Linked DNA regions of Rhinolophus ferrumequinum. The protein of the gene in region 1 interacts with the protein of each later gene in a pairwise test. Links are inferred from orthologs where the notes say so. Each region holds a gene or a part of one and is shown in the gene's direction. Other genes may lie near its edges. The genes, in order: C9H1orf216, MYRIP and ODAD1.

What was found.
Region 2: the proteins of C9H1orf216 (region 1) and MYRIP interact in binary tests that used the Homo sapiens proteins (3 or more experiments, as listed by UniProt). The two-hybrid records come from large-scale screens. The link is inferred for Rhinolophus ferrumequinum from reciprocal best matches to the Homo sapiens genes C1orf216 and MYRIP.
Region 3: the proteins of C9H1orf216 (region 1) and ODAD1 interact in binary tests that used the Homo sapiens proteins (3 or more experiments, as listed by UniProt). The two-hybrid records come from large-scale screens. The link is inferred for Rhinolophus ferrumequinum from reciprocal best matches to the Homo sapiens genes C1orf216 and ODAD1.

What each region holds. Positions count from the first base shown.
Region 1 is NC_046292.1:24,781,151-24,791,200, reverse strand, and holds C9H1orf216 (UPF0500 protein C1orf216 homolog), read left to right. Parts: upstream 1-6,350; 5' UTR 6,351-6,415; coding exon 6,416-6,506; intron 6,507-7,100; coding exon 7,101-7,792; 3' UTR 7,793-8,264; downstream 8,265-10,050.
Region 2 is NC_046300.1:13,120,074-13,131,024, reverse strand, and holds the start of MYRIP (rab effector MyRIP), read left to right. Parts: upstream 1-6,607; 5' UTR 6,608-6,854; intron 6,855-10,951. UniProt on the Homo sapiens protein: Rab effector protein involved in melanosome transport. Serves as link between melanosome-bound RAB27A and the motor proteins MYO5A and MYO7A. May link RAB27A-containing vesicles to actin filaments. Functions as a protein kinase A-anchoring protein (AKAP).
Region 3 is NC_046298.1:43,908,900-43,919,670, reverse strand, and holds the start of ODAD1 (outer dynein arm-docking complex subunit 1), read left to right. Parts: upstream 1-6,572; 5' UTR 6,573-7,307; exon of another isoform or gene 7,308-7,356; intron 7,357-7,579; exon of another isoform or gene 7,580-7,678; 5' UTR 7,679-7,735; intron 7,736-8,054; 5' UTR 8,055-8,099; coding exon 8,100-8,169; intron 8,170-8,660; exon of another isoform or gene 8,661-8,679; intron 8,680-9,055; exon of another isoform or gene 9,056-9,138; intron 9,139-9,375; coding exon 9,376-9,475; intron 9,476-9,633; coding exon 9,634-9,823; intron 9,824-10,771. Other genes in the region: EMP3 (epithelial membrane protein 3), read right to left, coding at 568-737, 1,553-1,693, 2,613-2,715, 2,957-3,034. UniProt on the Homo sapiens protein: Component of the outer dynein arm-docking complex (ODA-DC) that mediates outer dynein arms (ODA) binding onto the doublet microtubule. Involved in mediating assembly of both ODAs and their axonemal docking complex onto ciliary microtubules.

The sequences.
Region 1 (10,050 bases):
GGGGGTAGGAATGGCCCTGTCTTACCTAACGTGATCACACAGCAATTTTTAGATAGAATGGCACTACCGTGTTTTGCCGAAAATAAGACCTAGCCAGACAATCAGCTTTAATGCGTCTATTGGAGCAAAAATTAATATAAGACCTGACATTATATTATATTATATTATGTTATATTACATTATATTATAAAGACCCGGTCTTATAGTAAAATAAGACTGGGTCTTTATAATATAATGTAATATAATATAATATAATATAATATATATAATATAATACCCGATCTTATTTTACTATAATAAAATTTTACTTTTGCAGTAAAATAAGACCGGGTCTTATATTAATTTTTGCTCCAAAAGACGCATTAGAGTTGATTGTCCGGCTAGGTCTTATTTTCGGGGAAACACAGTATATCTTTAAGAGGCAGAGGACACATGGATGAAGAAAATGAGGTCACCAGCTTTGTGGGCCTTCCTTTCCCAAGATGAGCTAATTCTGGGGAATGATTTTCCTTCTAATCCGCCTTAAGGGCTCTCTGGTATATCAATTGTCCTCCAGAACTGTGCCTGATCTTGGGAGTCCAAGTAACAATATTCACATTATAATGTTTTTTTAACAGTGTTCAAGGCGTACTATCTTTATGTAACCTAAAAAGGTTAAAATGATTGATTTGTCTAAGTTCCCTAAGCTATGTGAGGAGGTTGGCAGATGATAGCTCAGGAAAAGAGAAGAAAGCAGGTAGCAAGCAATGTAGTTTGTACTCCAGGACTAGAAGCCTGTGCTTTGTTCTGATGTGAAACTTTTGGGGGCTTCCTCAGTTATTTCCCTGCTGCCCCCAGGAAGAAGCCCAGCTCCTGGGAATGGTAGTCAGACCTTTCACCACTTGGCCCACTTTATCCTCCAGCCTCATCTCCTACCTCCATTTCCCCACAAGATCCAGTCACACTGGCCTCTGTCTTGTCTGAAAACACTCTAAACACACACGCCACGTACAATCTCCTCTGCCTTCTCCTGCTTTCTCTCTGTGAGCTTCTAGTCATCTTTTAAAGCTTGGCTCAGATATCACCTCTGTGAAGCCTTTCCTCACCCTCTTATGTACTCATGACTTTTGCCTTCCAGATATCACCTTGAGCCTACCCATCCCTTTCTTCCGGGGAGGACTAACATTCAAAAATTGTCTGCTTAGAGAGGAACTCATGCCTGTCCTAGTTCCTGGAGTAGAAATTCTTTTCATCTTCCCTTGTTTCCTTACCTGACACCCCAGGCCCCCAGGGCCAGGACCTGGCTACTCGCTGCTCGCCTCTCTTGGCTCTGATTTCTGTCTGCTTGCCAAGATAGCTCTCACTGCTGGATCCTTGTGATGGGCTGGCCCGCTGCACATCCCTGTTCAGGCTGGTACTGGCCATTTCTGGTGATTTCGGTGTGTCTGCCAATTAAGTCTCTGCAATCTAAGTAGTTGGGTGGACATAGTCACAGATACCGCTTCACTGAGGGTGACAGATTCCCTGGTATCCTGACTGAGGACGCTTCTGGTGAATGAATAACAGACATCTATACATCGGCTTTTCTGTGGTCATGTAGACACGAACGCCTCTGCCTTCCGGGGGTTTTTTATTCTCCAGGCTCCCAGCTCTTTGAAAATTATGGAGTGGCCAGGCCCACTGTCTGAGCACTTACTGCATTAATTATACAGTGCTAGAGTATCCCATACAATATTTCCCTTCACTAAGAAAAGAGAGGCTACAGTCTGATGCCCTTGGAATTCACTGGACTTATCAGGTATTATGTTATTTAGAACAACTAGCTTTATAGAAAAATGGAATGAACAATTGATGACTTGGCTATGCCAGGTTGGGTTCTGCTATGCCGAGTACAATATAGGTATTAAATCAACAATCAGTATACAATTGTTGGTCTTTTGTAGCCAGAACACATATAAAGAGGTAGAGATGGGTGTGATACCTTCCATGATTGTACCTAATGACTTTCTCCAAGAGTTTACTTCCTGCCTCTGATATCCTGGTTCTGCCGGCCAGGAGGTTTTAGCAGCTAGGGAGGAATGTTTCTAACCAGGGAACACAAAGATGATTCCACAGCATTGCAAGCTCCTCATAATATCAGAGGAACAGAAGAAAGGAGGTTACAGTGTAGGCTGATCTGATAAAGGCTATCAAGGGGAAATAGAGTTGCTACTACTTAATGAGGGCTGAGAGGTTCATGCATGAGTGAGACCCAAGGGTGTTCTATTAATCAGCATTCTTTAGATTGCTAGTGAAAGAAATTCCACTCAAGTTAGGATTGGTAAAATGAGGGCCTTATTGGAAGGTATACAAAGGCCTCAGGAAACAGGGACTGGAACCTCATGAGGACTTCTGTCTTTCGTCTCTACTTCTATGTGTCAACATCATTTTCTCCTACTAAAAACTGACTTCTATGTGCCAGAGAATGTGAATGTTACAGCTTACATCTTCCCTGCTTTGTCTTCCTTTAATTTTATTTCAGAAAGTCCCAGAGAAGGGCTCTGACTGACTCACCCGGAGTGGGGAGTTCTATCCCTGGACTCACCAGGCTCCCATTTAACCCACGTGGTTAGAGCTGGGAGAGACAGAGCCAAAGGAGAGGTGGGGTGGAGCTGTTCTGGGCCCACCAAACAATCAGATGACATTATGGCTGTGTGGCATGGGAAGATTTGCATAACTCCAGACCACTGAAGCTCAGAGCCTTTAGGATTGAGGGTTTGGATCACCTCAGAAGGAAGCAAACTCCGGCTGAAGGCAAGGGGAACTTGCAGTGGTTAAAGGAAAAGGGAAGACTAGTTAGGTCTTGGAACCTGATGTAGAAATAGGGCTGAGGGCTCCACCTGTATATTTGTAGCTGGGGGAGTGTCCAAAGTTTGAGATACTTTTGCTTTCTCCCTTTTTTATTTCCTTTTCTCTCTTAAAATAAGAGTTGTCATAATCATAAAACAAAAAGTTTTTTTCTTCTTCCACTCTCCTTATTTTTGTACATAGGATTTATTGGTGTGATTTAATGTGCCATTTAGTCTCTAAGTTGCAGAATGGTGAGTTGGAATCAAGTTGAAACTGGAAGAGGATGCCCTATCATGGAGATCACAGAGTTGAATTCTTCCTCATTGAAACAAACAAACAAAAACAAAACAAAAAAGCAGCAAAAGAGAGGGATGAGGGAAAGACAAGGTATTTTAAATGTATTATGGTTCAAAGATGACTCCATATTAGTTTAGTTTAATTTTGAAATGGGGTAGGTGAGGAAGGTGTAGCCAATTGTGTAGTTTGCTCAGTAAAATGGGGATGTGGAAGGGACCTTCTGGAAGCTCACCGTGCCTTGAAAGCTAAATTTGTCCCAGTCTTCTTTCTGAGGTTGCCTAAGTTAAGAACTTAATTTAAGAAGTCTTAGGTTCCCAAACACCAGCCATTGCTTTTTGGTGTTGATCATTAAAGTCAGCAATTACTGTTTGCTTTGCTTGCAAACTGGGCCCCCAAACCCTCAGTTCCCCCAAGGAGGAAGAAAGTGAGGGGATCAGGCTTCAGTAAGTGGAAACTGAGAAAAGCTCACTGCACTGGCACCAGAGAGGCACTCATCGCCCTGTGGGAAGCCACCAGGGCCTGGGTGCAAGACAGTAGCCCCATGCCTGACCCAGAGTAGATTTTCTTTCCTCTCTTAAAAACGTAGCTTTCATAAGTGGCTTTAATAACTAAGCATAACATGAATACAGAATTTCCAATTGTGACAGAGACTATGAAGAAAAGGAACAAAATGCCCAGGGATAATATAAAAGGGGGTCAGAGAAGGTTGATCTGAGAAGAGATCTGAAATATGAGAGCGGGGAGAGAATGTTAGGCAGAGGGAACAGTGTTTGTAAAAGCCGCCTGGCAGGCAGAAAGAAGCGTCAAGCCGGGTTGCAGAGATGGAGCGCAAAGGCTGAAGCCGGAGAGGCAGACGGGGCAGGATGATCAGACCTCTGGGGCTGCTGCCTTAAGGATCTGCCTTGCAACAGGTTTTTGGCAGGAGGGTGGTGACATGATCAGATTTTCATTTTGAAAATGTCAGTGTATCCACAGTGAGGCAAGCCGATCGGAGAGGCCCAGTGAAGGCAGTTAGGAAATAAAACTGTACCTGCAAGGCCTCGGTCAAGGCTGCGGAAGGCGAAGGAGGGGAGGCGGCTCCCGCGCTCCGGCCTCCGCGCGCGGCTCCGCGGGAAACCGAACCGGCCCACGTGGGCCGGGCGGCCCCGCCCAGAGCGCTGACGCCGCCCGGCTGGCTCCGCAGTCCGCAACTGGGGCTGGGTGCACCGCTCCGGAACCCCGCACCCCACGCCCGGGTCCCGCGTGACGCCCAGGCCGAGGGACCCCTCAGCCCCGAGGGACGAGTTCCCGTCGCGGGTCCCGCGGAACCAGAGCCAGCCGCGCTGGGCAGACGCCTCCAGGCGGTGAGTCCAGACACTGAGGTTCGGGGACGAGGAGGGAAACCGCAGCCTCGGCCCAGCTGCCCCGAACGGAGAGATTAGGAAAGGATGGTCTCTATCTTTTGTCTGCGGGGGTAGTCTTCCTCTTCCACTAGGCTAGGCAGGAAGGGAGGCCGCTTCCCCCTGTTTTTACAGAATCACCCTTCCCCATACCCACCCACCCCTCAACCCCGGCAGACTGCGGATTAGCTCGGAGAGAAGCCTGACCCCGGGTGTCTGGGTTTCCATTTTACCCTCTCTGAGAACCCCGCTATTCGTAGCACCACCCTCACTGCATCCCAGCCTCCTTCGTGGCCCCGCCCAAGTTTAGGAAAAAGAAAACATTTGGGCGGAGAAGATCTACTGGCACCTTGTTTAGCAAGGAGGGTGTTGGTAGGTTATGAAGGGACGGTCCCTACATCATTCCCCCAGGACTTCTGCCCACTACTGGATGTGGGAAGGGTCCCTGCCACTTCCACTATCCTCTCACTCTTACTGATCCCACATTTTTCTAATCCTAGTAGTAGATGGTCAGCAGAAACCTCGTGTCAATTCAAATACTAATTTTGGTAAAGCTGGTTGTTGGGGAGGAAAGAAGAGCATAGTATGCCCTCCCTCCAGGGCCTCAGGATGGAGCAAGCTGGAGGGACACAAGATGGTAGGCATGGAGGGAAGGGGACAAGGTCCAAGAGAGGCTTGTCTGTGCGTGTGTGGGTGGGTGAGTGGGCGTCCTCCTTGGGCAGAAGAGGGAACTGAACCTAGCTCTTCTAGCCCTGGGCAATCAGCAGTAGCGGCCTGCTCCTACTGTTGGCCCCCATCCATGAGTATAGATATCCCGCTCTCTCACCCCCATTTACTCACCCAGCAAGTGTGGACTGACACTAGCTTAATGCCAAGTTCCATGCTGTCTCCTAGAAATACGGTGGGAAATAGAGGAGTTCCACGTCTAGTCAGGCAGCCAGGTTTATGAACTGCTTTTACAAGAGACTTAAAAAAAAAATGAATAGACATTTACTGACCATAACTATGTGCCAGGGACGAGAAAAAAACATGAATAAGACAGCGTGTACCCAAGGCTGTGGGGACCCAAAGGGAGGCAGTGTTTATGTATATTGGGGCAGTGAGGAGAATTTCAGGATGGCTTCAGAGACGGGGGATATGAGAGCTGAGTTTTGAAGTACAAAAAGGAATTTGCTGGGTGGAGAAGGGAGGATCTTAGAGAGCTGGGGAGAGGAAAGGTATGGCAGGCTAAAGGACCCATGTGAGGAGAATGACGGTGCATTCTGAGACCTCTGAGCAATTTGTGCGGTGGGAGGGGCAGAGCATCTAGAGGCAAGTCTGGAAGGGTGAGCAGGGGCCGGATGAAGAACAGCCAGGCAGGCCGTGGAGAGATTTAGCAGAAGTTTAGGGAAGGCAGTGGGAGCTGTGACCAATCAAATTTTCATTTTTTTGTAATAAAGCTTTTTTTCTTTCTTTCTTTCTTTCTTTTTTTTTTTTTTTTAAAGATTTTATTGGGGAAGGGGAACAGGACTTTATTGGGGAACAGTGTGTACTTCCAGGTCTTTTTCCAAGTCAAGTTGTTGTCCTTTCAATCTTAGTTGTGGAGGGCGCAGCTCAGCTCCAGGTCCAGTTGCCATTGTTAGCTTCAGGGGGCACAGCCCACCATCCCTTGCAGGTTGTTATTAGCTGCAGGGGGCGCAGCCCACCATTCTTTGCGGGAGTCCAACCAGCAACCTTGTGGTTGAGAGGACGCGCTCCAACCGACTGAACCATCCTGGAGCTCAGCGGCAGCTCAGCTCAAGGTGCTGTGTTCAATCTTAGTTGCAGGGGGCGGAGCACACCATCCCTTGTGGGAGTCGAGGAATCAAACTGGCAACCTTGTGGTTGAGAGCCCACTGGCCCATGTGGGAATCGAACCAGCAGCCTTCGGCGTTAGGAGCACGGAGCTCCAAATGCCTCAGCCACCGGGCTGGCCCCTCAAATTTTCATTTTTAACTGCAGGCAGAAAGATCAGTGAAAAGGCTGTGGCATTCAGTAATCCAGGTAAGAAATGGCCTGAACCAAGTGAAAGTGAGGGGAGATGTATGTACATAAACACAGAGGTTTTTAAGAGGAAGAATTGTCAGTGTTTGGTGGCCAATGAGATGGCAGAAGAAAGCAGAGTGAGTCCAGGATGCTTTTAAGTTTCTGGTTGGAGTGACTGAATGCACAGTGAGGTCATTTTGCTAAGGACACTGAAGATGGTGAGCTGGTTTGGACGTGTAGAATTTGAGGAGTGGTTGGTTACAGAGTTGGGTATCAGTTGGATCTGGGCTGGAGACAGATCTGAGAGTCAACAGCACATGATGGTTGTTGAAGCTACAGCAGAGGATGAGGTCACCTGGGGGAGAAGTACATAGAATGAGAAGACAACATGCCTCGAGGGCTGAGGGAAAACCCTCTGCAGGAGACCGAGAAGTAACAGTCAGAGAGGGAGGAGGAAAACCACGAAGGGAGATGTTAGCAGAGACCAGAGAAAGGAACTGAGAAGGAGCAGCCAGGCTCCCGCTTGCTGCCTTGTCCCAGCAGCTAGGTTGCCTGGACTCAGGTATCCCACCCTGTCCTGCTCTGACTCATTCTTCTGCTTCCCCTCTACAGACCAAATGTTCGCCTTCCAGCCAGGGGTGGCTGAGGGGGGCCAGTTCCTGGGGGGCCCACCTTCTGGAGTATGTCAGCCTGAGTTCCAACCAGATAGCAACTCCAACTTCATGGCAAGTGCCAAGGATGCCAATGAGAATTGGAGTGGGATGCCAGGCCAAGTGGAGCCCATTCTGATGAAGAAATCCGCGTTGCCCTCTGATAACCAGTCCTTCCAGGCCCCTGGACTTCCTGAGGGGGAGGTCCGAAGCCCACCAGAAGGGGCAGAGATCCCCAGAGCTGAGCCTGAGAAGATGGGTGGTGCTGGCACAGTCAGCTCCCCTCTGGAGGACAATGGCTATGCCAGCAGCTCCCTGAGCATTGACAGCCCCAGCAGCAGCCCTGAGCCTGCCTGTGGGACCCCTCCAGGCCCTGGCCCTTCAGATCCCTTTCTGCCCTCGGTGGCCCAGGCTATGCAGAAGCTGCAGGCTCAAGAACGCTACAAAGAGCAGGAGAAGGAGAAGCACCACATGCACTTGGTGATGTACCGTCGCCTGGCTCTGCTCCAGTGGATCCGAGGTCTGCAGCACCAGTTGATTGACCAGCAGGCCCGCCTGCAGGAGAGCTTCGATACCATCCTAGATAACCGGAAGGAGCTTATCCGCTGTCTCCAACAGAGGGCAGCACCATCCAGACCCCAGGACCAGGGCTAAGAGCGTTCCTCCACGGGGTGCAAGGGGTATCTGTAAATACTTGCAGGCATGAATGTGGTTGTGCGCAAGTACATAATTATTAGCTGGTATGAGTGCAGCTAAGGATAAGTGAGTAGTATGTGCTAACATGTAGTGGATATGTGCAGGCATGTATGAATCCGCACCTGGGCACCAGCTTGCATGTGCGGTGTGTACACACGAGCTAACTTAATGTGCAGGCCTATGTAGGAGTGTGTCCATCTGTGTATGTGTAGCATGTATATAAGAGGGAGTAAACTTGTATATGCATAGACAAGTGTGGACAGGCACCCAGAAGTGTGTGTATACAAGTATGCATGAGTGAGGATGTACAATTGACCCTTGAATAACACAGGTTTGAACTGCATAGTCCCGCTTATGAGTATATGTGGATTTTTTCCAATAAATATGTATAGCTCTGTAAGTGTATTTTCTCTTATGATTTTCTGAATAGCATTTTTTCTTCTCTAGCTTACTTAATAGTACTGTGTTTCCCCGAAAATGCTAAGACCTAGCCAGACAATCAGCTCTAATGCATCTTTTGGAGCAAAAATCAATATAAGACCTGATCTTATTTTACTATAATATAAGACCGGATCTTTATAATATAATAATATAATATAATATTATAATATAATTAATATAATATAATACCGGGTCTTATATTAATTTTTGCTTCAAAAGACGCATTAGAGCTGATGGTCTGGTTAAGTCTTATTTTTGGGGAAACACAGTAAGGAAAATAGTAAGTATATGGTGCATATAACATACAAAATGTGTGTTAATCGACTTTGTGTTATCAGTAAGGCTTCCGGTCAATAGGCTATTTAGTAGTTAAATTTGAGGGGAGTCAAAAGTTATACACGGATTTTTGACTGTGTCAGGGGTCAGCAGCACTAAACCCTGTGTTGTTCAAGGGCCAACTGTATATGCAAAAGATGTGTGTGCCTATGAGCGAGCTTGAGTGTGCAGGCTTGTGGTGGGTGTATGTGAGGGAACCCTTGTGTGTGCAGGCCTATGGGTAGGGATACATGTGTGTAGGTGCAGGCATGGGAAGTGTAGATTAGGAATGTGTATTTGCAGGTAGACTTGTGAGCAAGAGTGTGCAAGTATATATTCAGGTGCACATGTGGAGCATGCATCCATACCCTATGTTACCCATGGCCTGCCATAGCCTTTTTTCTCCACAGGGTCGCACTGCTTCCTGGAAAGAGGGCATCCTGCTGTCATTTATCTGCAGCTTATGGCTGATCCATTCTCTTGGGATTTCCCAGGCCACCTCTCCTCCCTCTCCTCACTCCTCCCAGACCTTGCTTTGCTAAGGCTGCTGTCCCTGATGATGGATTTGCTGTAGGTGGTCGCTGCTTTAGCCTGCCATGGCTTTTTGGCTGCAATTTTGCCAGGGCAATTGGTAGAGAATTAATTTCAGGGAGGGGAGCTGGGGATGGTGATCGACACCATGGTAGGAAAGGGGGGCAGGATCAGAGAAGAAGATAGGGGACTGTCCTTCTTGAACTCTGCCTTTGGGTACATGGGAGATGGGGATGGGGGAGATGATGATGGCAGAACCCTGTGAAGAATAGGAGAATGGGAATTCTAAAATACCAGTTCCAAATAAACCACACCTCTCCACTGCAGAGGAGCTTTTGCCGACCATACTGACATAAGCTTCTGATGAAAAGAAATGTGTGCTTATAATCTTGCAAGGAATGGACAAGGTGATCCCAGGGTGTTGGGAATAATCTCACTTCCGTCTCTCTGCCTCTACTTCGTATGCCTCCCTGGCTTTAACAACACTGGATGTTGAATGAGTTTGGTCCGTTTCCCTGAAATTAGTCTGTCTGGGCCAGGAGGAGGCACAGTTCAGCTTTCAAGGGTGGGCAGGAGCAGTGTCAGCCCAGCCTCTGGAAGCTCTTAGGATGCTGGGTCATACCCTCGTCCATCACTGTATGGCCCTTTGAATGGGGTTGACAGGTTCCAGCAGAAGCTCCGTGAGATGGAAAGTGGGTGAGTTCTGGGGAGAGCCAAGGACAAAGGTAGCCAAGCAATGTGTTTTGCTTCTGAGAGCCAAGAGGATACAAAATCCTGATGGGTGAGCCGTGGCATGGATGTCAACAACACTGCCTCTGTCCCTTAGTCTTCCTATCTGCAAAATGTGGGGGCTCTTTCTGATGATCTCTAAAGAGTTCCATTCCTGATGGGGGGGTGGGTGAAACAAACAGGGGATGAGGCTGAAGCAA
Region 2 (10,951 bases), on another chromosome or scaffold:
GAGAGAAGTGGACGGCAGGTTGCAGATAGTGTGGCTCCTGCTTCCTGTGTCTCCAAGTCAGCCACCAGGGAGACTATAGTGGTATGACTCCCCTATCTATGACTCCATGGGTGTTCCTTTTTGGCCTCACCATGTCCTGCGTTCTTATGTGGGGTGCGGGACCAGAGACCCCGCATGACACCCAGCATGACAAATACTCAGTATATACCAATAACAAAAGATGAATGAATACAAGTCACATTTGACTTCTGCAATTACAAGAGGTGCTCAAAGTGGTTACTATCAGCGCCCAGACACTTCTGATTATGGCGAACTACTGCTTGAGCAATGTTGACCAAAGTATTCACTTGTATACATTTTTTGGCACCCTGGTATACTGTAAAATAATGTTGTTTTTATCAGTCTCTCTCAGCAGCAGCAGGATTCTTTCTTGGATGCCCTAGACAGTGAATGACAATATTCTGTTATTACTTCTACATTGTCCTTCCAAGATAGAATCAACTTTCCGAAAGAAAACAGCAAAGCTTTTTAAAAGCCATTATTTAGTAGGGAATGATAGCTGTATAATAAAATATTAATTGTTCTAAAAACTACCTCAGAGAAAAATACTGTATTTACTAGAAACAATAAATTATTTTCTCTGCATTTCTATTTTTATTTAGTCTAATATCTGTTTCACCAACTCCAGATACACATATGGTCACATGTCTTGTTTTTCTAATTAACCACTGCTGAAGAGCAGAAAATCCAGGATTTCCATGTTAAAGCCTCCCACCCACCTTGAGTTGTTCAAAAACCTGAGTGTTTACTGTGTCCAGTGGGGTCCATCCTGCTTCCTTATACAGCAAGCATAGTGGATGTGTGTCACGGTCCTTTGCCTCCTGCTCTCTCTTGGTGACGCTGTTGAGGACAGGTCCTTTGTAGACTAATTTGTATAAGCTTTTGTGTGAACATAAATTTTCATTTCTCTAGGATAAATACCCAAGGTGAAATTGCTGGGTTGTATGGTAGGTCTGATTTTAGTTTTAAAAGAAGTAGCCAAACTAATTTCCAGAGTGGTTGCACCATTTTACATTCCTGCCAGCAATGCGTAAGTGACAGTTTCTCTGTCCCCTCACCAGCATTTGGTGTTGTCACTGTTTTTTATCTTACCCATTTTTATAGGTATAGTGGTATCTCATTATAGTTCTAGTTTACGTTCCTCTAATGGCTAATGATATCGAACCCATTTTCATGTGCTTATTTGCCAGCTGTATACACTCTTCAGTGAAATATCTCTTCACATCTTTTGCCCATTTTCTAATTGGACTGTTTGGGGGTTTTTACTGTTGAATGTTGAAAGTTCTTTACATATTCTAGATAGAAATCCTTTGCAGATATGTTATTTGAAAATATTTCCCCCAGTATATCGTTTGTCTTTTCATCTTAACAGGATCTTTCACATACAAATTTTTAAATTTTTAAAACAATTTTTGATGAGGTCCAATTTACCAGTTTTTCCCTTCATTCACCTACTTTTCACTCAACAAATAATTATTTATTATATGTCTAAAATTTATCAATATTCCAGACACCCACAGGAATCAAAGATGTGACATGTTCCCAACTTTAAGGAATTTCCAGTCTACTTGGGGATATTGGAGAACTACCCAAACAACTGATATTACATAACAAGTGCTAAGTGTCATGGAAGATGTAGAGATACTTTTTCTTTTCTTTTTCTTTTTTTTTTTTTAAAGAAAATCAGATATCATGTTTTGGCTGAGTGAAGGTTTTACTACTTCTATGCCAGAGAACACCACAAAATGGCATAGAAACTTCCTTTATTAACTCATTTCTTTTCCAGGTTAAAATAATAATTTTTAGATAACTAACATATTCAATCTCATTCTGTGCAAGGAAATTCCACATGGATTGTGTAAATTAGTAACGATCTTTCAGGGCAATGGAAAGGATTGCACCGTATTTTTTATTTAGGAAATCTAGGATTCAGCAAAATTAAGTAACTTGTCCAACGTCACGCACACAGAAAGTGGTAAGGTCAGACTGGCACTCCAGTATTGTGATTAATGATCTTTTAATTCTATCCAGAATCCTTCGAGACATGTCCTTTTCCTGCCAATATAAACTCATCAGTCTTCTGGCTAAGAAATGGACTGATTCATGTTTTAAAAGAATATGTGATTTTCTTGGTGTACAAAAGTCAACGAGCTCTTCTTGATTAAGGAAGAATCCATTAAAACTCTCACAGTGGTCAAGATCACGCAGAAAATGGAAAAAACAAGCTCTGCCTGTGAGTCACAAGGGGCAAAAGAAGGGACGGATATTGCTGGAATTCAGTAAAATTTCGTGGGATGACAGCTCAGGATGGAGTAACCAAGGAGGTAGCATTTTAGGTCATCTTCTTGCAGGCTCATCTTCAAACGCCGAATTTTTCATGGGGAATGATTTAAAAGAATCAATAATAGCTCTGGTGAAGAACTGAAGTTGTGTCTCTTTTAACCTAAAGGATGACAAATAGGGAACTGGAGCTCTTTCTCATTCATGATGTCTCTGGATTTCCATCTGTACTTTTCTTTCTGTATTTGACCTTGCCCAAATCATTGAACTATTCTGTGGGGACAGAGCCCCAAAAAGCAGTTTCCAGGCTCTCGGCCTCACATAGAAAGGTGCTGGCTCAGGTAGTAAATGGCCATCGACTGTGATCAAATGGCCATCAGCTGTGGCTAGTTGGCCATCAGCTGTAACCAGTGAGCCATTGGCCACGAATATAACTGCCATAGCTACACTAGAAGAAAAATGGGGGCTAGCAAGAAGATGGTGGCCAAGCCTGCAAGCGGCGCAGTGAGGGTTGAGAATTGTGTGGCTCCTGTTTCCTGTTTCTCCAACCCAGCCGCCAGCGAGAGTATAGTGGTATGACTCCCCTACTTATGGCTCCGTGGGTGTTCCTTTTTGGCCTAGCCATATCCTGCATTCTTATGTGGGGAGCGGGAGCTGAGACCCTGCAGGCCATCCCGCATGACACTTGGCGTAGTCGGCAGGATACCCCGCAAGCCGCCCTGCACTACACATGGCGCAGCGAGCAGGGTATGGTGTCGGCCAAAGCTCTCGAACGGCGGTGGAGCAGTTTGTGCCTATGAACACTCAGTTGCAGGAAGACTAGGAGGAGCAGCTGCCTGAGAGCTGGACCCCGTGGAGGGATGGGAAGACGTGGACAGTTCCCCAACCAGCAGAGGCCAGAGAAAGCGAAGGTTGTTGCGGCCCCGTGGGCTGGGAAGTGCTTGCTGAGGCAGCCCGGATGCAGGACTTGTAGTCCCAGGAGGAAACACTTGCTGAGTCTTCCATGGGAGATGAGGGTGAGGTCAAGGTCATCTCACCCCCAGGACAGCCCTGGCGAATGACTATGGACTATGGGGAATTGCCTTCCATCCCTAATTTAATTGACCACTTGACTGTTTGGGAACATACCACCATGTAATGGAACTGGCGGATATTTGCTTTTGTGTCTTGACTGGCCGCCATCGAGAATATGTAAGCACCTTGACTGTGAGACGCTGTTGTTCCAGCACGATACCCTGAGAGGCCCAGAGAGAGTGGCAGTGCCCTGAGAGCCCTGGCTGAGTCCAGGAAGTCTGGCTGTGTCCAGAGAGAGTGGCAGTGCCCTGAGAGCCCTGGCTGAGTCCAGGAAGTCTGGCTGTGCCCAGAAGTACTGGTGGCGCCCTGAGAAACCCTGGCTGTGCCCAGAAAGCCTGGCTGTGTCCAGGAAGTAGCATTCACCTCCAGGCTCCTCGCACAGGGCCCCTCGCGGAAGACGCTTGTCGCGTAGATTGTGAGGCGAAACCCTGTAGGGGTGGAGTGTGGGGACAGAGCCCCAAAAAGCAGTTTCCAGGCTCTCGGCCTCACATAGAAAGGTGCTGGCTCAGGTAGTAAATGGCCATCGACTGTGATCAAATGGCCATCAGCTGTGGCTAGTTGGCCGTCAGCTGTAACCAGTGAGCCATTGGCCACAAATAAAACTGCCGTGGCTAGGCTAGCAAGAAAAATGGGGGCTAGCAAGAAGATGGTGGCTGAGCCTGCAAGCGGCACAGTGAGGGTTGAGAATTGCGTGGCTCCTGTTTCCTGTTTCTCCAACCCAGCCGCCAGCGAGAATATAGTGGTGTGACTCCCTTACCTGTGGCTCCGTGGGTGTTCCTTTTTGGCCTCACCATATCCTGCATTCTTATGTGGGGAGCGGGAGCTGAGACCCTGCAGGCCGTCCCGCACGACATATTCTGTATGTATTTATTTGTCTTTTAAAATGTTTATAACTTAGGGATGATGTTAAGACCTTGTAAAGAGGTAGGTTTATATATTAGGTCAGTTTTGCGAACACCTGCAAGATGTCAAATAACCTTTGAACCCAGCCCCCATTCTTGTCATGATGTAGCTACTGTAGGGCCACCTGTGGAGAGTAATCCTTCCCCCTTCTACATTCAAATCTTTACTCTGCTGGCCTGAGATGCAGCTGCAGAGACAGAGGTCTTCACAATGTCTGGAAACAAACGAAGACAAGTGTTTAGAAGTGGCTTACTGTAGACCAACAGGAGGCACCTGTAGGAAAGCATGCACCGACTACCTGCCAACATTTGGGCAGGTTTATTCCCACCCCTGTGCTCATCTCACTATCCCCGTTCATCCCCAAACAATCAGAATACCCCAGGCCTGACCATCTGACTACTCAAGTCCTAGACAGCTCCGGGGTAGAGCATGAGTGAAGCAGGGAGAAAGAGTTTTCTTGGGTGGTGTAATGTGCACTCTGGGAAAGACGGGACTTGCCTCATTCTTGGATCCCGACCAATGAGAAGATGATCCTAGAGCTGCCACGTGTCACTATGTGAAGTAAGTCGATTTAACAATGAGGCCCACAGAGGAAAGCAGAGAGGGGAGGAGGAGGGAGAGAAGAGGGAAGGGGAAGGGAGAGAGGAAGAGGAAAAGATGCTGAGACTCTAGTTCTACTTCTGACATCACTTGAACCTCTGAATCCACATGTGCCTGAAGTTGCAACTACCATTTATTTCATATAACAAAAGGTAAAAAACGGAACCTTAGACAGATACATTTGGTTGTGCATATGTCGATTTTCTCTAGGAGGGTACACAAGCACATGAGAGCAATGGTTGTCTCCAGGGAGAGGAATTGAGCGTCTTGTTAACTATCTACCCATTTGCACTGTCTGAATTTCATACCACGCCAATGTTACTCAAGCATAGATAAATACAATTAAAATTGAAGGTAAATAACATAGAACCAAAACACAGACTTTCTTCCACTTTAACCAGTTTTGTGGATTATAAAATCCCTTTAAGAGAGGAAAACAGATCTTTAGAGAAATCAACTCCTTTACCTTCCAAGTTTCCTTCTTAAAGTCCCCCCGCCCCCACCCCACTCTCCCGCGGACAGATCAGCAAACCAGCGAGCCATCCATTTCTACTGCGTAAATTTACACGGAGAGAGCAGCTCAATCCACCGTCCTGAGAAAGGATTCCCAGGGTTTTAGGAATCACCAATGTAGCTCCACAAACGCTGTATTCTGATGGAGTGACTTCCACCCTGCAGCTAAAATTGACAGTGTGTTTTCACAGCAGAGTTGTTCGTGCTGAGGCAGTCTGTTTTAGGAAGATTCCAGGCCTTGTACATTATGGATGCAAACTCACGCTGAAGCCCTGGCCTGGAGGGGAACCTTTCAACTCCTATTTGCTTTTTCAGGACCTGGAGCACCTGGCAGGTGCCCGAATGCGTTCCTCACCTGCAGTAATCTTCCTGCGTCCTTCTGCCAGCGCGGGCTCACTAAACCGGCGGTGTGGAAGCCAAGGGGTTTGGGAGATTTGGGCGCGCAGTGGCCTGGGACAGCTCTTCGAGCCTAACGCGAATCCAGTCCACGCGTGTTGAACGAATGAGAGTCGCTAGCTCAGTAAATTCATGAGACTAAAGGGAATCTAGACCAGGGGGTGGGTCAGCACGGTGACTTTAAATACCCAGGGACTGACTGTGAAGTGGAGAGCTGTCTTTGGAGAAGCTCCACGCCGGCTCTTCGTGAGGCTCCAGACTCCCGCCCGCGAGCCAGGCCGACCCGGGATCCCGCGACCCAACACTCCGCGGTCAGGGAGGGGCCGGGCCCCCGAGGTTTAGGGGCGAGCGACCGGAAAAGCCTGACTTCAAAGCTGAGAACGACCTGAGGTCTCACCTGGGGGCTCCTGGGCCGCGGCCCCGACACCGCACTGCCGGGCTAAGGGGCGCCCAGGAGAGGGCGCGGGACCCCGCCCCGGGCGCGCGCAGCCCCAGCCCCGCCTCCTCCCGAGGCGCCCGCCCTCCCCGCGCGTGCGGCCCGCGCGCCGGGGGAGCTCGGGAGAAAGCCGCGGGCAGGTGCCCCCGGCCCAGCGCAGGCGCGATCGCGCGCAGTCCCTCCAGCCGGGCACCCCGCACGCGCCCCCGCCCCGCCTCCGCACGCGCCCCGGCCCCGGGCGCCTCTGATTGGCGGCCGGCCGGGCCAGCGTGTCGGCGGCGGCTGCGGCCGGGCTGGCCCTGGCTGCCTGCGGCGCGGGCGCCTCCCTCTCAGCCGCGGCCGCCGCGGCGCTCCCGCCTCCTGCCGGCTCCCGGGCTCCCGCTGCGGCTGCGGTTCGGGCGGCCGAGCCCCGCGGCGTTGCGGCTCAGATCTGGCGCGCCGCACGACCCGCGCCCCTGCCTCGCAGCTCGCCGCCTCCTGATCCACGCGCCGCGCTGCGGCAGGTGCCCCGGGCGTCCTGAGACGCGGTGGCCTGAGCCCGGCCGTCATCGATGACCCGGGTCACGGACCTGCTCCAGCCTGGTCACCCCGTGTGAGTACCGTCCCCTCCCCTCAGAAGGCTTTCCGCCACCGTCCCTCTTACGTTGCAGCAACTTTGGGGGTAGGTGTGTGGAGGTGTCTCTCACGTCCCCCCACACCCCGTGCGCGTCCTGAGCCAGGGTCGGGGGCTTGGCCAGTCCGCGGCTGCGGAGGGGCACGGGGGTGGGGGCGTTGAACTTGCGTCGTCGCAGAGTGGGAACCGTGCCTTCCTCCGGCTGCCGGGGCCGAAGCTTGCCTCTGTGTGTCCCTCGCGGTTTTCGATCCCCACTAGCCACGTAGCTCTTGGGTTGCTGTTCACCGCGCACCTACTAAGCTACGGGCGCACCTGCCGGGCGCCTTAAATCATCCGGTAAGCGCCCGGAAGCAGCCCAACGCGGTGGACTTGACTCTTTCGGACTCTTAATTTCTGTAAAATGGGGCTAATCAGGGACTCGCTCAAGGTCACAGCTGGTGCACGGAGTAAGAATCCGAGTCGATTGCGTCTGGCCGGTCCCCGGACTGCCTGGAGAGGGACGCGCTGTTGCGGGGAAGGAGGGGGTTGGTCACTTCAGCTTCATCCCGGTCTCTTCCTCATACTCCCTTCCCCCAAACTCCGCCTTATTTGGAGAGGTCGGGATCCGATCCCAAAGGACCTCGCGGGGGACCTTCGGAGCGAGCGCGGAGAGGAGCAAGTCCACGGTGGGAAGCCCTGGACCTGAGACATTTGCAGTATCCCCTCCATTCCCCGTCACTTAATTTGCTAACGTCTGGGCAGAGTCAGGGGAATTTGCTAGGTGCCTGCTCCGTCTCCTTCTCCCAAATAAGTCCTGTCCCCGAGGATAAATATCCGAGACTCTACCTGCACATACCAGTTTGGGCTCAGGGACTTCCTGAGACGCGGGTTCGTTCTGAGGTTGGCTTCCCCAACACTGGCTCCCATCAGCTCTTAAAACAATGCCTCTGGCTTCATTTCTGCTCGCCCCTCCTCCCTACCCCTGGATCTGGATTTGTTAAACCCTTTCCTTGGGGAGGGTGGAGTCCCGTCCCAGAATGTGTAAATGTTGGCAGACGTGAATCTTTTACTCCAGATCCTTTGAGGCAGCTCCTGTGGGGCTGTGCGCGGTTGGAAGAACTTTGGACGGGGGAGAGAATGTTCCCTCCCCTTTTGACATATCACCCTGTCCCTCCAACTCAGCCTCCCTTGCCCCAACTAGGCGATGACTACTTAGATAGGTTTGTGATGTTTGACAAACATCTTTGAGCCTCGACGTTTTTTGTTTAATGTATACAATGGAATAATCCCTGCCTTTTAGTCTTCCCAAGGCAATTATGGTTCAGGGGACATGTCAGATGTGCAAGTCGAAGGAAGATGGTCCAGAAGGAACTGAGCTGTTGGTAGAAATGGAGGTGATTCAAAGAATTTTTTTACAGCAGCCTCGAGGACCCTATTCACAAATCTAAAAATCCTTCTTTCCAGAGAAATTTATTTTGGTAAAACTTTGAAGAGACTACTCTCCATCTCCCTGTTGATGTTGCTTGCCTGGTCATGGTGATTGAAACTGACAGTGGTGTAGACTGAATCCTGTTTCCTGTCTCCCTGCCAAGAGGCACAGAAGGAGAGTTCATCTGTGGCCTTAACCTTCAGAGCAGCTCACTCACATGAACTGAAATACTCCATTGAGAACCGAGCATCTCCCTGCTTTTGCCTTTCTGGTTATTACCGTGTTGGCAGACTTTTGTCTCAAAGGCAAGTTAAGGAGGGACAACTGACCAGACCTTGGTGAATTTGTTTTAATATCATATTGAAGTATGACATAATCACAGCAAATGGCATAGATCTGAAGTGCATTCTCAATGGACTTTCACAAACTGAACACACCTGCGGACCCCGTGCCCAGGTGAAGACCTATCATACCCCCCCAATCTCCCCATGACACCTACAGGCACCTTCCCTCAAGGGTAACCATCATCCCGCTTAGTTTTGTCAGGTGAGTTTTAGTTTTATTATTATGATTTATTTTATCATTTTAATTTCAAAGTGAAAATGAAACTGCTAGATGATTTTCTACCTCTTTTTTATATGTATGTAAAGCAAAGGTAGTTATACCTAAGCCAGTCCAGAAAGTTAGAAGGAAGAATTTGGTCTTAAGATCTGGTTGGAGTCTGAACTGGTTGTACCATTGTCCGCCCCCCCCCCCCCCCCCCCCGCCACCACACACACACACCCTGATCATTGGTTCTTGTTCTTGGGTGATGTGACCTGCTGGACCCTAGATGTAACAGTGCTGACAGGGATAAATAGAGGCTGGTTTACTCGTAGAGTGTATTTGAATAATACAAATCTGAAATAGTGTGGTAATAAAATATAAATGAAGAAAAGATATGAATGAATTCTTATTTGAAACATAAAAATGGAAATATTTTGAATTTCTCAAGGTGAAAAATTTGGTGGATAATCGCAGAATTTCAAGGCTGAGTGACTTGTGAGCTGTTCGGGCTGTTGCCACATGGTGGCGCCACATTAGCGGGACAACTGAAATACCCACCATTCTTTCCCAAGCCCTCCGGAAGGAATCCTAGGAATAAAATCCTAGGAATAAAAATCCAACAGTTCGGGAATCTCCAAAAGTGATGTCTGCACACGGTGGTTTTTGCAGTGTCTGGCAGGCAAGCCTCCCTCTGCTGCCTGCCAAGTCCGTGGCTAGAACACTATCCCAGCTTTTTGTGGGTTGGGGCAGGTGGAACTGAGACACTGTTGCTTTCTCTTTAATAACGTGGAGCTGTGGTATGTCCTTGGAATTTTAAAGAGGATCAGTTGAGAAGCTAGCTTAAGTGTGTTATGGTTCTATTGGTCTCATTTCACCCCAGAATCCCCCAGAGGTCTGAGAGAAGGAGTTCTCTTTCCCGGGGCAGGTAGCTTTTTCCACAGAGCACTGTCCATGGTGAACTTAGAATACTAAACAGGCCTGGGTGTAGCCCAACTGCTGCTGGCAGAAGGGCCCCATGCCTTCCACAGCGTGGGGACCAGGTCACCAGGAGAGCCCTCAGGAAGTGGGCATGCTGTATCCAGCTGAGACAGCTGAGCAGACCCAGTCAGTGCCCTTCAGCACCTTTTCCTCTGTCAGTGTGACTGAATGTTGTTTAGGTGATTGGATTTGTGTGATGGCTGCGAGCCTCTGATTGCTACGAGTGTTAAGTATTTGCCATGTGCTGGACACTAAATATATATATATATATATATATATATATATATATATATATATATATATATTCATTTAATCTTCACTATAAGAGGAGGATGGCTTTCCTATTTTATAGATGAAGGAACTGGGCCTTGAAAATTAACCACTCTTTCTGAGTGTACGCAATATGTGAGCCAGAGTGAGGTTTGAGAGCCAAGTCTCTCAGACAGCTTCCCAGCTGAATTGTACCCTTCTGCAGGGTTAGAGAAGTCTTGCGTAGTTCTTTTGTCTTCCCTGACACCTAGCATAGCACTCTACATATAGTAGCTACTTACGTCTAAGAATGGGGATTGCCATACATAGAAAATTGTGGGCTGAGCAGAAAGGAAGTTCAGACACGGAGGGATGAGAATTTGGGGTTGAGTCCATGCAACGTGTAACACTGGGACTGAGTGTGTGCCCATCGTGTGTAGCCTTCTTTTGTGTTGAAAATTTTATGGAAATGAAGGCCTGTCATTTATTTTTGTGATTTGCTTTTTTCACCTAATACTGCTTTTTGATATGTGTTGATAACATATGTTGATAATTATAGATGTACTATTTCTTTGATATACCAGAGTTCAAATATTCCCCATCGATGGACCGAAAAAATGGTTTTACCATTTGCTATTATAAATAGTACTGCAGGGAATATCCTTGGTAAGATCTTGTAGAAATAGACAAGAGTGTGTCTAGGGTGTATACCCCCTGAAGTTTCATATCTGGATAGTAGGATATGCTCGCATCAACACTTGTCTGTTACTTCAACCCTACTAGGTTTTGCAAATTGCCCTCTGAAGTAGTTCTGCCACTTAACACTCCCACCAGCACTGTGTTGGAGTTCCTTGTATCCCCATATCCTCCACGGTGCCTCCTGCTAATTAGATAC
Region 3 (10,771 bases), on another chromosome or scaffold:
GTGTCATACTAGCTAGAGGCAGCATTTGGGGAGGAGGGGAAAGGAGGGGTTGGACTGTAATGAGGGAAGGAGACTGGGTTCTGAGAGGGAAATGGAAAGGTGTCTTCCCAGAGGGAGGGACAGAATGAAAAAAAAAGAGACCAACAATCTAGAACAACACACGCACACCCTGCTTGGTTGATGACCCTCGCACAAGGAGAGAGAGGACTGGAAACCAGGACTCCCGGTTCTTTTCCAGAAGTGCCTGAAAGTCTCCACTCTGGGGGAATCCTGATAATCGGTGGAAGGGCCTAGGGCCTCGGGTCTGTGTAAGGGAAAGGCGGCTTGGGACCCGTTTCGGGTTTAGCAGGGACTGGGGGCAGGGAGCTGGACATTCTGAGGGCGAAGCTGCTGCTGCTGGGGGCTGCCCCGGGTTCAGGAGAGATCAGGTGTGAGCAGTCTGGGTCCCTGGAGGAAGAAAGGAAGGAGGCAAAGGCAGAGCTGGCAGTTAAACAGTTTTATTTTCCGAAGGCGGGGTGAGGCAGAGAGTCCGGGAGCGGGCTGGAGCGGCACAGCGAGGCGCAGCGCTCACTCCCGCTTCCGCAGGTGAATGTAGATGACACCACTGGCCAGGGCGAGGGGGAAGGCCACCCAGGCTAGAGCGAAGCAGTAACCGAAGGTGCCCTTGGCCGCACGCTTCTCCAGGATGTCCTCCACGTGAATGGCGTAGATCAGCGCCCCGGTAAAAACCGTCAGGCCTGTGGGGAGACAGGAACCCCGTGTCACGTTGTAGCCTCAAGAACACTGCATTCCCCAGCAACCCATGGGGCCAATAAGCCGCCGGAGAGCGAGTGGGTAGCAGCGCTGCCTGCTGGGAGTCTTGGTTCGCTTACAGCGCGGTGCAACCTGGTTACTGCAGACTGGCTTTGGGCAATTTAATCTTCAGGTCCCCTTTACTCATCCACAAAAATGGGACGATAATATCTACTCATCCATCCGCCCACATAAGGAACATTTTTGAGTGTCTTTCTACAAGCCACGAACACAAAGAGTGAACTAATGTTAATAAAACAAGAGGGGGGCTTTGCAGGAACCTGGGAAGATAATGTTCCCCAAACTGAGGGCTATGATCAACTTAGCCCTTTGCACCTGAAGTCAAAAAATTGAAAAATACATAAAACTCCCAGAAGTGCAGTAGGTCCACCAGAAACAGCAGTTGGCTGCCATTATAAGACCACTACTACTATGATTTAGAGTTCTCACCTGGGTTATTGGCTACCTATACCCACCTCCCATTCCTGGGATTTATTTGCCCACACCACATTTCTCAGCCCTGGCTCCTTGAAGCCCCAAGTGCCAGCTCCCCCATGACTCAGAGATATACCATACAAACCATTTTTGAGTCACTGAAAACCACAACTCCCGTAAGTCCCTGGGAGGGAGACAGGTGCCAAGGAGATGGGAGGCTGCTGAGATTTCTTTTTTTTTTTTTACCAGACATCCATTCTCAGGGGCCCCGGCATCCTGACAGGCACCCCCCCCTTCCCTTCAATTCCCAGGGAACAGTGCTCACTGGTGCAAAGTTGGCAGAGGCCAGTGGCATAGAAGAGTCCTCCTCGCCGCATGGTGTAGAGTTGAAACATGAACAGGATGAAGGACAGACAGCAGAGGATAAGGGAAAGCACCATGAGGACTTGCACTGCCTTCAGCCAGCCTACAACAAGGAGGAGATAGAGGTGGAACTCACAGCAGGTTCAGATTTCCAGCTCCACCTGCTTATTCATCATTTGCACCCCCCACCCCCACCCCTGCACACACCGCCATTTAGAGCCATACAAGTTTGGATACTTAGTATCACGTTTATTGACCTTGATACCTGTAACTGCTAAATTCCCTTATCAGTTCTAGAAGTGTCTTTGTAGATTTTTTAGGATTTTCTACATAAACCCACTGGGAATAGAGACTTTTTTTTTTTTTTTACACTTCTTCCTTTTCCATCCTTATGCCATTTATTTATTTTTCTTGCCTTGTTGCATTGGCTACCTCCAGTACAACACGGAATAGAAGTGGTGAGAACAGAAATTGTTGTTTCACTCTTAGGGGAAAAGCATTTCATGTTTCACCTTCTCCCACTCAGACATTTCGATGGACGCAACTCCTCCCCTCTAGAACTCAGATGCATCTGTCACCCTCACCCCTCCTTTAGAACCTTGAAAGGATTCAACCCCATCTCTTTAGAAATTCAATGTGATTCCAGCCCCACCCCCTTGGAACTTGGACAACTTGGTCGCAGTCTTTCATTCGGAACACCAGTTCTATCTCCTTAGAACTTTGGACACATAATCCTATCTTCTCAGAATCTTGGGAGCTTTCTCCTCATTCCTTAAGCCTATAGAATGTGGCCTCCACTCTTTCTGGACCATAAGGGAGGAGGGCTTTTAGCTCATACTCTTTAGAATAGGAGCATATTGCTGCCCACCACCAAGATAGGTGGGTCATACATCAGTCCTACTCACTCAGCATTGAGACCCAGATCTGCCAACTCAAACCTTGGCAGAGTCCCAATCCTTGGTCCCAGGAGGAGACTTGGGGTTACCCCTCCCCTTTGCAGACCAGTCCCCAATGCCCCTCACCATTCTCGCTGACATTAATGCAGGTCCACGTTTTGTTGTCATTGGTCCACATGCAGTCATACCAGAGATTCAGGGACTCCTTCCCTGGGAGGGTCCACCAGGACTGGCATGGACAGAGAAACGGGTAGGGATATGAGAGGAAAGTGGGAGTGGTCAGGGAGTCTGTGGGAAGGGTGAGGAAAAGGGTTTAGCAGGAAAGGGGGAGGAGGTCAGGGCATCAGAGGCAGAGCTGAGAGGGGTAGATGGCAGGGGAAAGGGGTCGGGCTGGAGTGACTTTAGAGGAGGGGCGTGTGGGGAGTCTGCAGGAGAGCGGAGGCCCTGTTGCTGCTGCTCCATGGGCTTACCTTGTCCAAAGTGGCCACGAAAAGCAGGATGAGAATGAGGATGTGAAGGGCAGAGACCACCAGCAGGAGGAGTGACATGGCTGCAGTGGAAGCCTGGGGTAGGGGACATCAGGATATGGTCGTTTCAAGAGGTTGGCACAGGGGCAGGTGAGATGCCCGAATCCTCTTGGAGAATGGGGGCTGAGTCCAGACTCCTGGGTTGGAGGGAGGAGGGGGCTGAGGGCCCGGACTCCTGAATTCCCCAGGGGCTGGAGAGGGTCAGGGATGGACTCTTGGGTCCAGGAATGAGTAGGACTAGCAATGTCTCAGAGGACTAGCATCTCCTCAGAGTCCTATCCCTGGGTGCATATGGATCAGGCTCTGAAAATTCAAGTGGACACCCCTCCAGATTCATCAGAAGCTAAGGGCTGTCCCCAGAGACAGGCATCCTTGACTCACCCCACCCCTCTCCTAGGGTGAGGGGGGGTGAGGAAGATGGGGTGAGTCATTGGTGACTCATCCCACTCTTGACTCCAAGTACCAGGGAAACCCCAGCCCCTGGCTGCCCACGAGATCCCCACCCCACCCTGCTGCCAGACTTGTGCCTGCTGGGCACCTTGTGGCAAAAATGGATGAGATGCCTGTTGGGAGGAGAGAGGCCTGAGAAGGAGCCAGCCTCCTACTACCCTTCAGTGAACAGAAGGGGAAGGGGCCTGGAGGTTCCCCAGACTTCGGGTGTTCTCATGCAAAGCCCTGATCTCCGGGTTCTCAAGGGAGAGTGGACAGCTGTGGGGGAAAACTACAGGATATTTTCAGGTGGAGGGCTCTGTTGGGAACCCCCAAACTTTGCCGGGCCCCACCCCTTCCTGAATCCCCACCCAAGTGCTAAGAGATCACTTCTGAAATTACAAGGATTTCCATAGGGGTGTCCTTCCCAAACAGCTGCACTCCCAAGTAAATAAAGAAATCCCAGTTCGGATAACGGACTGGAAACTTACCGAGAGCAGCGGAAAAAGTCAGAGTTGGAGTCTGTTCCTCGCTTGGGCCTCCGTGCCCCGCCCTTCTCCTCCCTCCTTCCACCCTCTCGAGGCCCCCGCCTCCCTCGCTGCCTTCCTCCCTCCCGCACTCTCCTCTCTGGCCCTCTCAGTCCTTCTCCCTTCCAATCCTGGAACCCTTTCTCTCTTTCTCTTTCTCCCTCTCCCTCTCTTTCTCCCTCTCCCTCTCCCTCTCCCTCTCTTTCTCCCTCTCCTTCTCCCTCTCCCTTTCCTTCTCCCTCTCTCTCTCCCTTCCCCTCTCCCCCTCTTCCCCTTCCACCCTTTTCTCTCCCTCCCTCCCTCTCTCCCTTCCTTCCTCTCTCTTTCTTCTACCTCTTGTCTCTCTCTCCTGTCCTATTCCCCTGTCTTTCACTCTTCTCACTTTCCTGGTTTTTCTTCCTCTGTTCCTCTGAATATATACTGACCCTTTTATACCCACCCTCACCGCACCCAGCTGAGGTCTGCAGCTAGAGGGAGGGCCCAGGCACTTGGGTTCTTCATTCTTTGAGCCCCCGCCCACTGCCCCCAGACACGTATCGTTTCTGCGTTTTCCTCCCAGGGTTGAGATGAGAAGTCCTTGGAGGGAACAGAGCAGAGCAGTACCCTGGGGTGGGGCAAGCATCGGGGTGGGAGGGTCCAAGTCTCAGGCCTCTGCTCTGGGTCTTGTCCTGGGACCTGGGGTCTGATGTCTGCATTCCTTGATGGGGTTTAGGACTGGATACTCAGGGATGAGAGTCTGAGGGAGGAGGCCAGATTCCTGCCATGTGGAGTAGGCTGAAGACTGGTGAAATTGGTACCATGGTGGGTGTCAGTGGATGGGAAATGGGGAAGTGTGAACTCTAAAGGGGGCAGGAGGTGGAAGTTAAGAATCCCAGCGCCAGTATTTCCTGCCCTGGGAACCTTGACCAATTCTGTCAACTTACTGAGCCTCAGTTTCCTAATTTGTGAGGTGGGTATAATAATACGAATAATGACAATATACTAATACTGATAATAATAAGTCTGATACTTATTCTAAATGAATAAGGTAATACCAGTACATTAACACACTTAACACATTCAGTTCTTTCTTCATCAGACATTTATTGAACATCTATTAAATAGGAGTTAATAATAAAGAAAACAGAATGTGACCCTACTGTTACTGTGGAGCTTACCTACCTAGTAGAGGGAGACAGAATAAAGAGAAAACATATCAATGAAGAAGACAAATTTCAGATAGCGATAAGGGCCTTGAAAGAAACAAAACAGAGTGACAGAGATAGTGAGTGTGTGTGTGTGGAACCTACTTTAAACGGAGTAGTCAGACTAGGCCTCTCAGAGGAGTGATATCTGAGCTGAGACCTGAAGACAGGGAAGAGGAACCTCGTGCAAAGGCTCTTGAGAACAAACTCAGGTTGTTTGGAGAGCAGACAGAAGGGCCAGTGTGGCTGGAATACAGGGAGTTAGAAGGAGTGGAAGGAAGGGAAATCAAAGAGGGCCCTTGAAGACTAGGGGAGGAGTTTGGACTAATTTATTCTAAGTGCAGTGGGAAGCCATTGGAAGGTTTTAAACAGAAGTACAGTACCAGGGATCTAATGTTAACTATTATTATTGTCAATTTGGGGGTTATTGAATTAGGGTGGGGGGTGATGACTAGTATGTACCTGGGTTTCTTGGAAGAGCTGAATGCTGGTGAATAGTGAGGGACAGGGGACCAGGTGTCTGGGGTCCTGATATGGAATCTGAGAGCTGGCAGACTAAAATTCTGGGTCCCTGCAAAGGAAGGGAACTGGACCATGGCAAGTCTGGGTATCTGATGGTCCCAGAGCTGGGGGCGGGAGAATGGTTGGTTATGTGGATTCCCAGAGGGGGTGAGGAATAGGCAGTTTAGTGACTGGGTGGGTACTTACGAAGACCAGAAAGCTGGGGTACCTATAGCACAAAAGCTAGAGACACACTGGCTGGATTCAAATCCAAGCTGCTTTACTCTGATTTGGGGCAAGTTACTAATAATCTCTCTATGGTTCATTTTCTCTATCTGTAAAATAGGGATAATAATAGTGAACGCATCAGGGAAGTTGAGTAGTGCCTCGTACAGCGTAAGCACTGCTGTATGTGCTAGTTATACTAGGCATTGGGGCCCTGGGTGGGTTCTGTACTGGGGGACCCTAGATTAAGGTCTCTAGGATTTGGGGAAGGGGCAAATTCTTCGGTCCATTGGGTCCCAAGACTAAAAAGTTGGGAGTACAAAATGAGAGTCCCTGTTTTGGGGAGTATGTGGGTAGTCACAAACTTAAGTCTTTGAGCAGGACAGAAGCTGGGGGTCTAGACTCAGAACCCCAAGGAAGATAGAAAGTCTGGGTCACAGAAGGAAAAACTAGGGACTAGAGGGTCACTGCTTTTCAGGGAGTGCAGGCAAAGGGAGGCCAGCCCCCCTCCCCTAACTGATCCGCGGAGGAGTCTAGGTTAGGGAGATGGAAATTTGAGCGGGGTAGGTGGAGAATAGGAGAGCAGGACTCTGAATCAAGTTCCCTGAGTGGTATTAGCGCCCTGGTATTCGTACCCTGGGGATGTTCAGGGGGGTCTCCCATTTAGGGCCCTGTGATGGCGGAGCATCAGAGGCCCCGAGAGCAGAGGTGGGATCTCCCCTTCTTGGGCCTCCAACGCTACGAGCTTAGCGGAGCGCCTCGCGGGCGGTTTCCTCCCACAGGAAACCACAGGCGTTGGGCACACCCAGCCTGCAGGGAGGAGCGCCTACTGCCCGCCGACTCCGGGGAGGCCCAAGTGGGCAGCAGCCGACCACTAAAGGGGCGAGGAGGTGTGGTCAGACAGGGGCGTGACCGGAAGGCGGGGGCGGTGCGAGGAGCCGGGTGCCCCGCCCACTTCCGCCTCTCAGTCTGCGGACTCCGTGGGCAGCGAAGGGATTTTTCGTGCCTTAAGAGGCCGTTGGCCGCGCATGCGTAGTGAGGTGCTGGGAGGACCTGAGGCGGTGGTGAGCATTACTCCCCCTCACAAGTCCCGGCGCCGGCACCGCCTTCCTGCTAATGAAGCCTCAAAATAACGTGGTCCTAAGATACGCTTCTCTCCGGCCCTTCCCGAAGGACCTCGGTCTTCCAGATGTTTTGCTCTCAACCTTGCCTCCAATTCCCGGAAACACAGCCCGATCCTCGCAGGCCCGTGTTCCCCTTGCAGCCCCTCCCGACCGCCCGCAGGCCTTTCCAGCTAGAGTGCCTCCTGGTTAGCCCCGCCCCCACAAGTCTTGGGAACCACGGTCCTTCCAGCGCCCTCCCAGCGGACTCCTCACGCGCTCTTCCAGCCACGCCCCTCCTTGGCCCAAGAAACCCCGCCCTCCTCAGGTATCCGTGCTCCTCCCCTCGAGAGTCCCCGCAGCCCCGCCCTTCACAGGTACCGGTGATTTCCCCAGCCCCAAACCTCACAGACCCTTCCGGCTCCGCCCTTTACAGATCTCCGAGCCCTTCCCTCGCAAACCTCGAAGGCCGGATTATAGCGGGCCCTTCTAGTCCCGCCCCTTATAGGGCCACAGCCCCACCCCTCACAGGGCTCCCCAACAGTTCTGTTTAAAGCCGGGGGGGGGGGCTGGTGGTGGGGGTGGGGGTGGGGGCGGGGATCCGAGCAGGTATTCTCGCCGCCGCCTCCGCCACTCCTCCCCAGCCTCCCCTCCCACAGCCTCTCTTCGCGGCCTCGATCCCTCCCCTTATCTCCCCAGTAACCAGACCACAACAGTGAGCTAGGAGCGCCAAGGACAGGGCAAGCACTCCAGCAGGTAGGGAAGGGGCCTCGTTCCCTACAGCGGTCCTTCCTCTGTGATCCCTTCCCCAAACCGCCCCCTTCAGAGATACCGAGAGCCTAAGGGACCTGTCCCCCCGCGCCAGAATCAGAGCCAAGATGCAAGACAGAGAATGTGAGAGGTGGGAGGTTGGAAGGAGTGTGGGGAGAGGCCAGAGAAGTGTCCCCCCTCCAACCCATTGGGGGAATTGAGACTCAGAGAGAGGCCAGAGCTGATTTTGGGGTCGTCTTCCAATTCCTAATCCCTCTGTGCATTGCCCACCTCCTCCCCGCCCTCTCCTGCTTGCTGTCTGAAGGGGTCCTGTGTTACCGCTGCAGGAGTCCCACCCTCTTTGGGAAAGATGCCTTCAGGATTCTCTGCAGGGAACAACCGCTCCGAGAATGGCAGCGAGGCCTACCTCGAGGGAATGGGTAATTCATACGATCTTTTATTTCACTCATTCTTTTTCTTTATCTCATTCTTTTTGTCAGGGTTCCCAATTCCAGGTCCTGTGCTTCAGAGCCATGGGAACAAGGTGGTCTTCTAGGAGAGCCTTCTAGTGGGGAGCACAAGTGTGGGAATGGACGTGGAGGGAGGCATATGGGTGGGCCAAGACTTACTGCAGGACAAGCTTGAGTGGGGCCCAGAACTCCTCCCTGGAATCACCAAGGGGTAAAGAAAGGGGAGAGTGTTTCAACAGAGAGAACAGCACGTGGCTAGAGCAGGGTTTGTCAATCTCCGCACTGTTGACACGTGGGGGTCAGGTAATCCTTTGTTATGGGGACTGTTCTGTGCCTTGTAGGATATCTAACAGCATCCCTGGCCTCTACCTACTACAGGCCAGTAGCACCCTCTGCACCTCCGCTACCTGCCCCACATTGTGACAACCAAAAATGCCTCCAGACAATGCCAGATGCTCATGGGGGATAGAATAGCTCCAGGTTGAGAACCATTGGGCTGTGGGAGGTGGGGAGCTGGTGGAGACTTGGAGAAGTGGATAGTCAGGTCCTACAGGGCATTGAACACCAGGCTGAGGAGTTGAGACTGTCCTGGGGGCGCTGGGGCGCCAGGGAAGGCCTGGGAGCCGGGAAGGGCCAGAGTCCGCTCCGAGTGTAGAAGGAGCCCCTGGGGCTGTGAGGGGAGGCTGGGAGGTTGGGGAGAAGGCTGGAGTGATAGTCCAGGCAAGAGTGGATGAAGCCTCAGCCTAGGAGAGGGCCTGAGAGTGAGGAGCAGGAGGGTGGGACTGAGGATGGCTCAGCAGCTGGGGGTGAGGGGGAAGGAGGGAGCAAGACTGCTGATTTGGTCCCCTGTCTTCAGCTTTCCCAAGTTCCAGGTCCTGTGCAGTGGATCCTTGAGGACCATGAGGCCCTCCAGGAGCGCCCTCTAGTGGGGAAACAGATGTATGCCCAAACCGGAGAAGGAGTGGGTTTTAGGGAGGAAATCTCAAGGTTAGCAAGGGGTACCTTGCTAAGGGATGAGGAAGTTTGAGGCAGTCCTAGAGGGGTGTTGGGGACTGGGTCTGCAGTTCAGTTGCAGCTTGTGAGACCCTAAGGGAGCTAGGATTCCTACCTAGGTCCTAGGGAGGAAGGGGCTGGGCCTGGATTCCTATTGAGTCCCTTGCCTGGTCTGTCCTTCAGTGGACTGGGAGCTGAGCAGATTGCTGCGGCAGTGCAAAGTGATGGAGGGTGAAAGGCGGGCCTACAGCAAGGAAGTCCACCAGCGCATCAATAAGCAACTGTGAGCCGAGTGCCTGGGTCTCAGAACTGGAAGGGGGCTGTTGAAGGGTTGGGGGTCAGACTCGGGTCTGAAGCTGGGGCAGGCCCAGTGTATCTGGCCTTTAGTGATGCTGACCTTTGCCCCTTGCTGGCCTCCCCTCCTCCTCCCTGCCTGGGCAGTGAGGAGATCCACCGCCTAGAGGAGGTGCGGGACAAACTTCAGGTGCAGATCAGCGTCGCCCAGAGCCAGGTCAAGCGGCTGCAGGACAATGAGAGGCTGAAGAACATGGGCCGCTTGCTGAAGTGCCAGGCCCAGGTGCAGGCCGAGGTCAAGGAGCTGCAGGAGCAGGCCAGGACCCTGGACAGGCAGGTGGGTTCTGAGACCAGACTCTGGATCTTGCTTAGGGGCAAGTGTCGTAATTGCTTTGAGACTTAGCTTCCTCATATGAAAAATGGGGTTATTGAAAGCATCGCCTGGCATTGGGGTGCCCAGGCTCCAGAATGTGGGTGTTTAGTGCTGAGCACAATCCCACACATTCAAAAGGGGGGCTGGTGCAGTTAAGGGGAAAGGTTCACTTTCTGGAGTCGGTGAAACCTGTGTTAGAATCCTGGTCCAGCCACATCAGAGCTGTGTGACCACGGGCACGTCTTCACCTCTCTGGGCCCTAGTTCCTTAATCTGCAAAAGGAGGATGTTGGTAATGGAGCAGAGTCTAGACAGGTGTCTAATCCTCCCTGCCTCAAGATCTTGCTATGTGACCGTGGAAACAATGTAACTTTTCTATGCCAGTGTTCTTTCAAATTTTTATGACCACGACTGGTGACGCAGTTCATACACATATAGATGCAGATGGATATAAACACATGTGCACATATATGTTTATCTGAAACAAAACCTTCACCAAATCATACTTTCTTTCTATGTGTAATTCTTTCTGTTATTTTCTCTTCTATTCTTCATTTTAAAAAGTTGCTTTTCTAGAGCAAGTGATTTCTTGCACACTATGGGATCACAAACAGGAATTTGAAAGTTACTTGTATCAGTTTCCAATTGTTGCTGTAACAAATTATCACCAACTTGATGGCTTAAGATAATACACATTAATTATCTTACAGTGCTGGAGGACAGAAGTCCAAAATGGGTTTCACTTGGGTAAAATCAGGGTATCAGCAAGGTGAAGCTTCTGGATGCTTCAGGGGAGAATCTGTTTCTTGGTCTTTTCCAGCTTCTAAAGGCTGTCTGCATTCCTTAGCTCATGGCTCCTTTCTTTACCTTTTAAGACACCCATGAACACTTGAGTGTTTCTTATGCAGCATCA